Macaca mulatta: one gene and its partner. The protein of the gene in region 2 purifies or fractionates together with the protein of the main gene of each other region. This does not show direct contact. Links are inferred from orthologs where the notes say so. Each region holds a gene or a part of one and is shown on either strand. Other genes may lie near its edges. The genes, in order: MAPK14 and PTPN7.

Region 1 (4,462 bases), on a different chromosome or scaffold from region 2:
CATCATTCTCCTGCCTCAGCCTCCCGAGTAGCTGGGACTACAGGCACCTGCCACCACACCAGGCTAATTTTTTGTATTTTTAGTAGAGATGGGGTTTCACTGTATTAGCCAAGATGGTCTCGATCTCCGGATCTCCTGATCCACCCGCCTCGGCCTCCCAAACTACTGGGATTACAGGCTTGAGCCACCGCGCCCGGCCCACTGAATACCTTTTTAAAACTTTCAAATTTTATACAATGTGAATATATTACCTATTTTTAAAAATCTGTTCAATAAAAGTACTTTTAAGTGTCAGATACTGCTGGCTTTTTTTTTATTTTGAGACGGAGTCTCGCTCTGTCGCCAAGGCTGGAGTGCAGTGGCGCCATCTTGGCTCGCTGCAAGCTCCGCCTCCCGGGTTTACGCCATTCTCCTGCCTCAGCCTCCCGGTTAGCTGGGACTACAGGCGCCCGCCACCTCGCCCGGCTACTTTTTCGTATTTTTTAGTAGAGACGGGGTTTCACCGTGTTAACCAGGACTTTCTCGATCTCCTGACCTCGTGATCCGCCCGTCTCAGCCTCCCAAAGTGCTGGGATTACAGGCTTGAGCCACCGCGCCCGGCCTCTGCTGGCTTTTATACCACAGAAAAATATACCACTAAAGAAATGTGGAGTTAATTTTAATGGTACTTCACTGTAAATCTGGATCTCCTGTTCCAGTGCAGAGCTAGTCACCAACAGTACTGAACCTTTGCGAGGAATTCAACTGGAGTTCACCCAAACCCTCTATAGATGAGTTATTCTGCTGTTATCACTCCATTAAAATTTAAATAGCATTGAAAACAAAAACGTGATACTACAGAAATGAATGTGTCAATTCAAGAATGAAAAAATGGAAGTATATTAATGAGCTATAAAATATTAAAAGAACAATGATCCAAATACATCTTTGAAAATTAGCAAATCAACTAGATATACATAATATGTATATACTGAATGGATATACATATATTAACATGTATATATCGAATGTAAAATGCTGCAAATCAACTATACACACACACACTCTGAATGTAAAATCCTGCAAATTCCTTTAAAATGTAAACTGCCATGCTGTAAAAATGGGAGAAAGATGTCACGCACGGTGCCATCTGCAACATAACTTAAGCAGCTTGAACTAGAAAATGCAATATGATCTGTTACTGGACACAATTGCACAATCTCAATTACCCAGAAGATTCTACCAAACAGGAAATTCATGATGTGACTTTGGGAAACACAGAAATCATATTTAAAGATTAACACATCCAAAAGCCTGGAATTTGTTCCAAAACAAAAAACTATTTTACAGGCCCCTTTTCAAATGACGCATACAATACGAATTACTAAAACACAGAAAAAGCTAACAGTTAAATCTGATATTTAGTTTCAGATCCGTAGCTTTTAAATTATAGAAAATCTAAAATACAGGGTATAAAACCTTGAAAATTAGAGAGCAGTTAGTGAAATATTTCAGGTCTGGAAATTACATGGTATCGACTTAATTTAAAACACACTCACGGTGTAAATTAAAGCTAAAAAGTATCTCTTCCCTTCCTTTTCTATGTGGTTCCATATCCTTACGAAAACCATCGTGTACCTCAGGCCATAAATGCAGATAACTAGATAAATCCCTGCAAACTCTGAAAGGGACTTTTAAAACACAGTATTCGCAGGAATTATCTCAAAAAATACTTACAATACCTCCTAGCACTGTTAATAATTTTTTGATCTTGAGGGCGCCTTACAGATCTGAATCTTTCTTGCTCCAAATGAAAAAACTGTTTTGTCGAACAATACTTAAATGAGCAGTGGTATGTGACTAATCAGTGAGACTGCCAGTTTCTCAAGCTGCAGCGTTCTTGCAGGCACTACCACCGCCGCCCCTCCACAGAAAGGAAATACGCTTTCAACCGAATCGGAAACACACCACTCAAGCTGGCACAGTGTTCACCGAGATAAAGTCGGTATTTTAAGCTCTATGGATCGCTGCTAATTCAAGTGCGAATTCAAAAAGAACACTTCTCGAGATGGGATTTCGACAGAGGTTTGGGGAAAAAAAAAAAAAAAAAGGCCCGGAGAGAGCTCCCTTCCTGGTCAGTTTTGTTTAGATGACCGCAGTCTTCGGGTTGCGCTCTGCCCTTCTGCTTCTCCCGGCAGCTCCCCAAGCTTGTCTGCTCAGAGGACAGGGTCCGGCGCCACAGCGTGGGCGCATCGCGGGAGAGGGTCCTTCTGCTCCAGGTCCGGAGGGAGACCCCCAAGGAAGCAGCCCTTCCCCCGGTGCCTGCCGCCGAGCAGCAACCTTCCGAGAGGCGAAGGCGCAGGGTGCTAGCCAGAACCGAGCTCCAGCACCACCACCTACCTCTCGCAGCGGACTTGAGCGCTGCACACGGTGGACCGCAATACCCGCGTGAGTGCAGGGCGAGGGGTGCAGGAGGTGCAGAACAGGCAGAGCTCGAAGGGGCAGCAAGGCCCTCCCCCGAGGAAAATTCCTGCCACTTGACGCAACGCAGAGCAGTCGTGCAGGCCTGGCTCTCGGGCGCGAGGGGCCACCCTGCCCACAGCGGCCCCAGGCCCGGCGACACTCACCACACAGAGCCATAGGCGCCGGAGCCCACTGGAGACAGGTTCTGGTAACGCTCGGGCACCTCCCAGATTGTCTTGTTCAGCTCCTGCCGGTAGAACGTGGGCCTCTCCTGAGACATTTTCCAGCGGCAGTCGCCGGGTAAGAAGGTGGCCCTATGGGGCCCCCGCCTGCACCCGCACCCTCTCCCCGGCCCTTGCTGCCCGCCCAGCCGGGCGGGGACCTTGCGCTGGTCGCCCGCGCAGGTGCGGCTGCCGCGACCCCGCAGACTCCCGCGCGCGCGGCTGCTGTCAGCCGCCGCGGCTGGATGCGCCCCTGCGACTGGGGCAAGCCCCGCTAAGGGCAGGGACGCGCTCCGGCGCTCAAGGCTGCGCCTGCCGCGATCTCCCTGCACCTTCGTCCCTACAAGGCCGACTCCGAGCTGCGTCGCAGTACTCCGGATCCAGCTGCTGCGCCCGCTGAGGCTCCAGTGGTCGCGGTTCCACAGCCAGCAAACAGGAGCCTCCCGCAGTACTCTCGCGAGAACTGCTCCCGGGACTCTCCGAGAGCCGAGATTTTACCCAATATGGAACCTCTTCGCGGGCGGGGCTTCGTGAGAGGAGAGGATGAGAGGGGCAGTTCTCGCGAGAAGAGAGCAACAACTGGAGCCCAAAGGCAGAAACTCCCAGGAACTGTCTCCTTAAGGGCGCGAAGGCGGACCAGGGAAGGAAGAGATAAGCGGGCAGCACACGCCGCGCGCGCCCCACCGTGGCCGGCAGGGCAAATACCTGGCTCTGTGGTGGAAAACGACAGTGACAAATAGCGTGTCGGGGAAAGAGTCAAAAGATCTTTAACTGCGAGTAGTTACTAGCAGCGGAGCACCTGCTCAGCTGAACCCCCAAATTCCAAAAAACACTTGCATGAAAAAGAGATAGGTGGCAGGGCGCGGTGGCTCACGCCTGTAATCCCAGCATTTTGGGAGGCCGAAGCGGGCGGATCACCTGAGGTCGGGAGTTCGAGACCAGCCTGACCAAAATGGCGAAACCCCCGTCTCTACTAAAAATGCAAAATTAGCCGGGCGTGGTGGCGCGCACCTGGAGTCCCAGCTACTCGGGAGGCAGAGGCAGGAGAATCGCTTGAACCCGGGAGGTGGAGGTTGTGGTGAGCCGAGATCGCGCCATTGCACTCCAGCCTGGGAAACAGAAGCGAAACTCCGTCTCAAATTAAAAAAAAAAAAAAAAAAAGTGAGAGACAGGTTCTGGCCAGAAGGCTGTTGCATTCCCATCTGCTCAAGGACATATGGGTTACTCTACATGTGGGTTACTCTTCGAGATGCTGACGAAATATGTCCCAAAGGCAAATGTTAACCCTGCATCAAAGCTGAGGCTTTCCAGGGGCTGGGCGCGGTGGCTCACGCCTGTTATCCCAGCACTTTGGGAGGCCGAGGCGGTCGGATCACGAGGTCAAGAGATAGAGACCATCCTGGCCAACATGGTGAAACCCCGTCTCTACTGAAAAATACAAAAATTAGCTGGGCATGGTGGCTTGAGCCTGTAGTTCCAGCTTCTCGGGAGACTGAGGCAGGAGAATTGCTTGAATCCGGGAGGCGGAGGTTGCAGTGAGCTAAAATCGCGCCACTGCACTCCAGCCTGGCGTCAGAAGGAGACTCCGTCTCAAAAAAAAAAAAAAAAAAAAAAAAAAAAAAAAAAAAAAAAGCTGAGGCTTTCCATTCAAACTCTCCTAATAGTTCTTAAACTTACATGCAGAAAAATCACCCTGGGAGTTTAAGATGCAAGTTCCCAGGACTCACAGGGAGTCTAATTGGGTAGGTCAGAGGAAGGCATCAAGAGCATGTATTTTTATAATACATCTTAGGTAATTC
Region 2 (2,759 bases):
TTCTTTTTCTTTTTTTCTTTTTTTTTATGAGACAGTCTCACTCTGATACCCAGGCTGGAGAGTTGTGGTATGATCTTGGCTCACTGCAGCCTCTGCCTCCTGGGTTCAAGTGGTTCTCCTGCCTCAATCTCCTGAGTAGCTAGGACTGTAGGTGCCTGCCACCATGCCCAGCTAATTTTTGTATTTTTAGTAGAAACAGGGTTTCACCATGTTGCCCAGGGTGGTCTTGAACTCCCGACCTCAAGTGATTGGCCCATCTTGGCCTTCCAAAGTGCTAGGATTACAGATATGAGCCACCATGCCCCGCCACCTATATTCATCTTTTCTACTTGCTACTCCTCCTTGCTGACCCTCAGATTTACTGTGAGAGGAGTCCTCTGCCCCTTACACGTGCTGAGGGGTGATGCCCCGTGTTGACGCTTGGTCTTCCTTGATTCACTCAGCTCCTGGGACAAAACCAGACCTCTGAAGCCTTGAGTCGGGCCAGGAATACTCCTGAGCCTCAAGTTTCCTTCTTTCTAATAATCTTAAAAGTAAAAATAATGATTCCATACATTTGTATAATAGTTTCCATTTCCAAAACACTTTCATATAAGTTAACTCATTTCTTACAACAGTTTTCTGGGGGAAGGAGCCATTATCTCTCTCTAGATAAAGAAGTGGGGGCTGGGCACAGTGACTTAAGCCTGTAATCCCAGTACTTTGTGAAGCCAAGGGGGCATTGTTGAGCCCAGGAGATCGAGACTAGTCTGGGCAACATAGTGAGACCCCATCTCTATTATTACAAAAAGAAGAAAGAAAGGAAAAAAAAAGAAATGGGAGCTCAGAGAAATCTAGTGACATCTCAGTGAGACAAAAGTTGGAATCTGAACACTGGCTCTGCCTCAACCCAGTGAGCTTCTTTGCACTACTTGTTGCCTCATATCATGTTTAATTCCAGGGCTCCAAGCCAACTTTCCAGATAGATATTCTTTTTTTTTTTTTTTTTTTTTTTTTTGAGACAGAGTCTTGCTGTGTCACCCAGGCTGGAGTGCAATGGCACAATCTTGGCTCACTGCAACTTCCACCTCCTGGGTTCAAGCAACTGTCCTGCCTTAGCCTCCTGAGTAGCTGGGATTACAAGGGCCCGCACCAGGTCCAGCTAATTTTTGTATTTTTAGTAGAGACAGGGTTTCACCATGTTGGCGAGGCTGGTCTCGAACTCGTGACCTCAGGTGATCCACCCACCTCAGCCTGCCAATGTGCTGGGATTACAGGTGTGAGCCACCGCGCCCGGCCATCCAGATAGATATTTTTTGCTGGTTGTTAGTTGCAAAATAAACAGCTCTAAGCAGAAAGGGTTTCTTCCTTTCTTGCAGGAGTGCTTGATGGTGATGGGCCTATCAGGGCTCTGGGGCCCAGAGGCACTGATGCCCCCCATTAACGTTGTTGGCCTTGTTTACACCCACAGACCCACCTGTCTAGCCGCAGTTGGCACACAATGCCCAGAATGTCCACTTCCCCTCGGGCCTTCAGCTGTTGACAGCCAATTCGCGTGGCGATGAAGCAGCCTGTCCGGCCAATCCCTGCACTGAAGATAGCCAGGGAGGGGACAGGGAGGTCATGGGAGACAAGGGAATCTAAGAGCCAGGCCCCAAACCATGGAGAAAGAAATGGGACCTGCAGGTGCTGTATTTTGGGGATAGGACTCTGGAGATGGGGGCAGGTAGAGTACTTCGGATTCCAGTCCCCTTGGGGACCCTGCTGGAGGCAGGTTATAACTGGCACGGGAGGAGTTTACATTTCTTACCAGCCTCACTGTAAGCCTGTTGCAGGCCACCTTCTGGTCCCTGTGGACGTTTTGATGATCTCCACTCTGCTGAGCATCTACAGCAGTTTCCAACAGACAGTTCCCCACTTGTGGGCGTGCTGACCCTTGAGCCCTCCTTATCTAACCTTGACTTCCTCTCAGCTCAGACTCATCTTCCACGCAGCCCATGCCCGGCCCCTCTGTTTCCCACCTTGGCGCCCTCCCACAGTCTTCTCTCCGCTCTGCTCTGCTTGCTCCATCGTGCCCTCTGTTTATTTCAAAACTCCCCAGGCCTCCTGTTCCTCTTGCGTGAGCCTCTAATGACCTCCCTGCACATGTCCCACTGCTACCTGTGGGTGGGCTGGGAAGGCCCTGTGTCATGCTTTTTGCCTCTGTGCTCTGTTTTATTTAGGATATGCACTCCCAAATGATCTCTTTCTTTAGTCTTATCCCCTACGATACCCTCTCACTCCAGCCCAATCCATTTTTCACTCTATAGCCAAAGTGTTATTTTACAACCAAGTGTCTTAGCCAGTCCTACAAGGCCCCTCATCATCTGACCTTCACTGGCCTTCCAAACCCATCTCTCATCATTACCCCACACATAACCTCTGGGCCCAACCTGTAACCCTGCTCCCAGCAGTGTATCCATTTTCACATTTCTTCTCTGGGCCTTAGTTAGCATATGCTGTTCCACCTGCCTGGAATGTGTTCCCTTCCCTCTCTTCGCTTGGCTAATTCACCGTTCAGGTCTTAGCTTGGCTTAGATGGCCTTTCTCTTGGAAAACCTTCTCTGGTCAAAGTCTGGCTTAGGAGACTTGGTTCTATGCTCCCCATCATATCCCCATCACAGCTCTCATCACATTGTGTGATATTTAATAGTTTGTTTGTTTTTTTTTTTTTAAGACAGAGTTTTGCTCTTGTTGCCCAGGCTGGAATGCAATGGTGTGATCTCAGCTCACCGCAACCT

The links.
Region 1: the proteins of PTPN7 (region 2) and MAPK14 purify together in Homo sapiens (affinity purification with mass spectrometry; 3 studies listed by BioGRID and IntAct, with this or other methods). This does not show direct contact. The link is inferred for Macaca mulatta from reciprocal best matches to the Homo sapiens genes PTPN7 and MAPK14.

Annotation. Positions count from the first base shown.
Region 1 is NC_133409.1:146,226,388-146,230,849, forward strand, and holds the start of MAPK14 (mitogen-activated protein kinase 14), read right to left. Parts: upstream 3,073-4,462; 5' UTR 2,723-3,072; coding exon 2,607-2,722; exon of another isoform or gene 2,380-2,606; intron 1-2,379. UniProt on the Homo sapiens protein: Serine/threonine kinase which acts as an essential component of the MAP kinase signal transduction pathway.
Region 2 is NC_133406.1:59,817,473-59,820,231, forward strand, and holds part of PTPN7 (tyrosine-protein phosphatase non-receptor type 7), read right to left. Parts: intron 1,620-2,759; coding exon 1,457-1,619; intron 1-1,456. UniProt on the Homo sapiens protein: Protein phosphatase that acts preferentially on tyrosine-phosphorylated MAPK1. Plays a role in the regulation of T and B-lymphocyte development and signal transduction.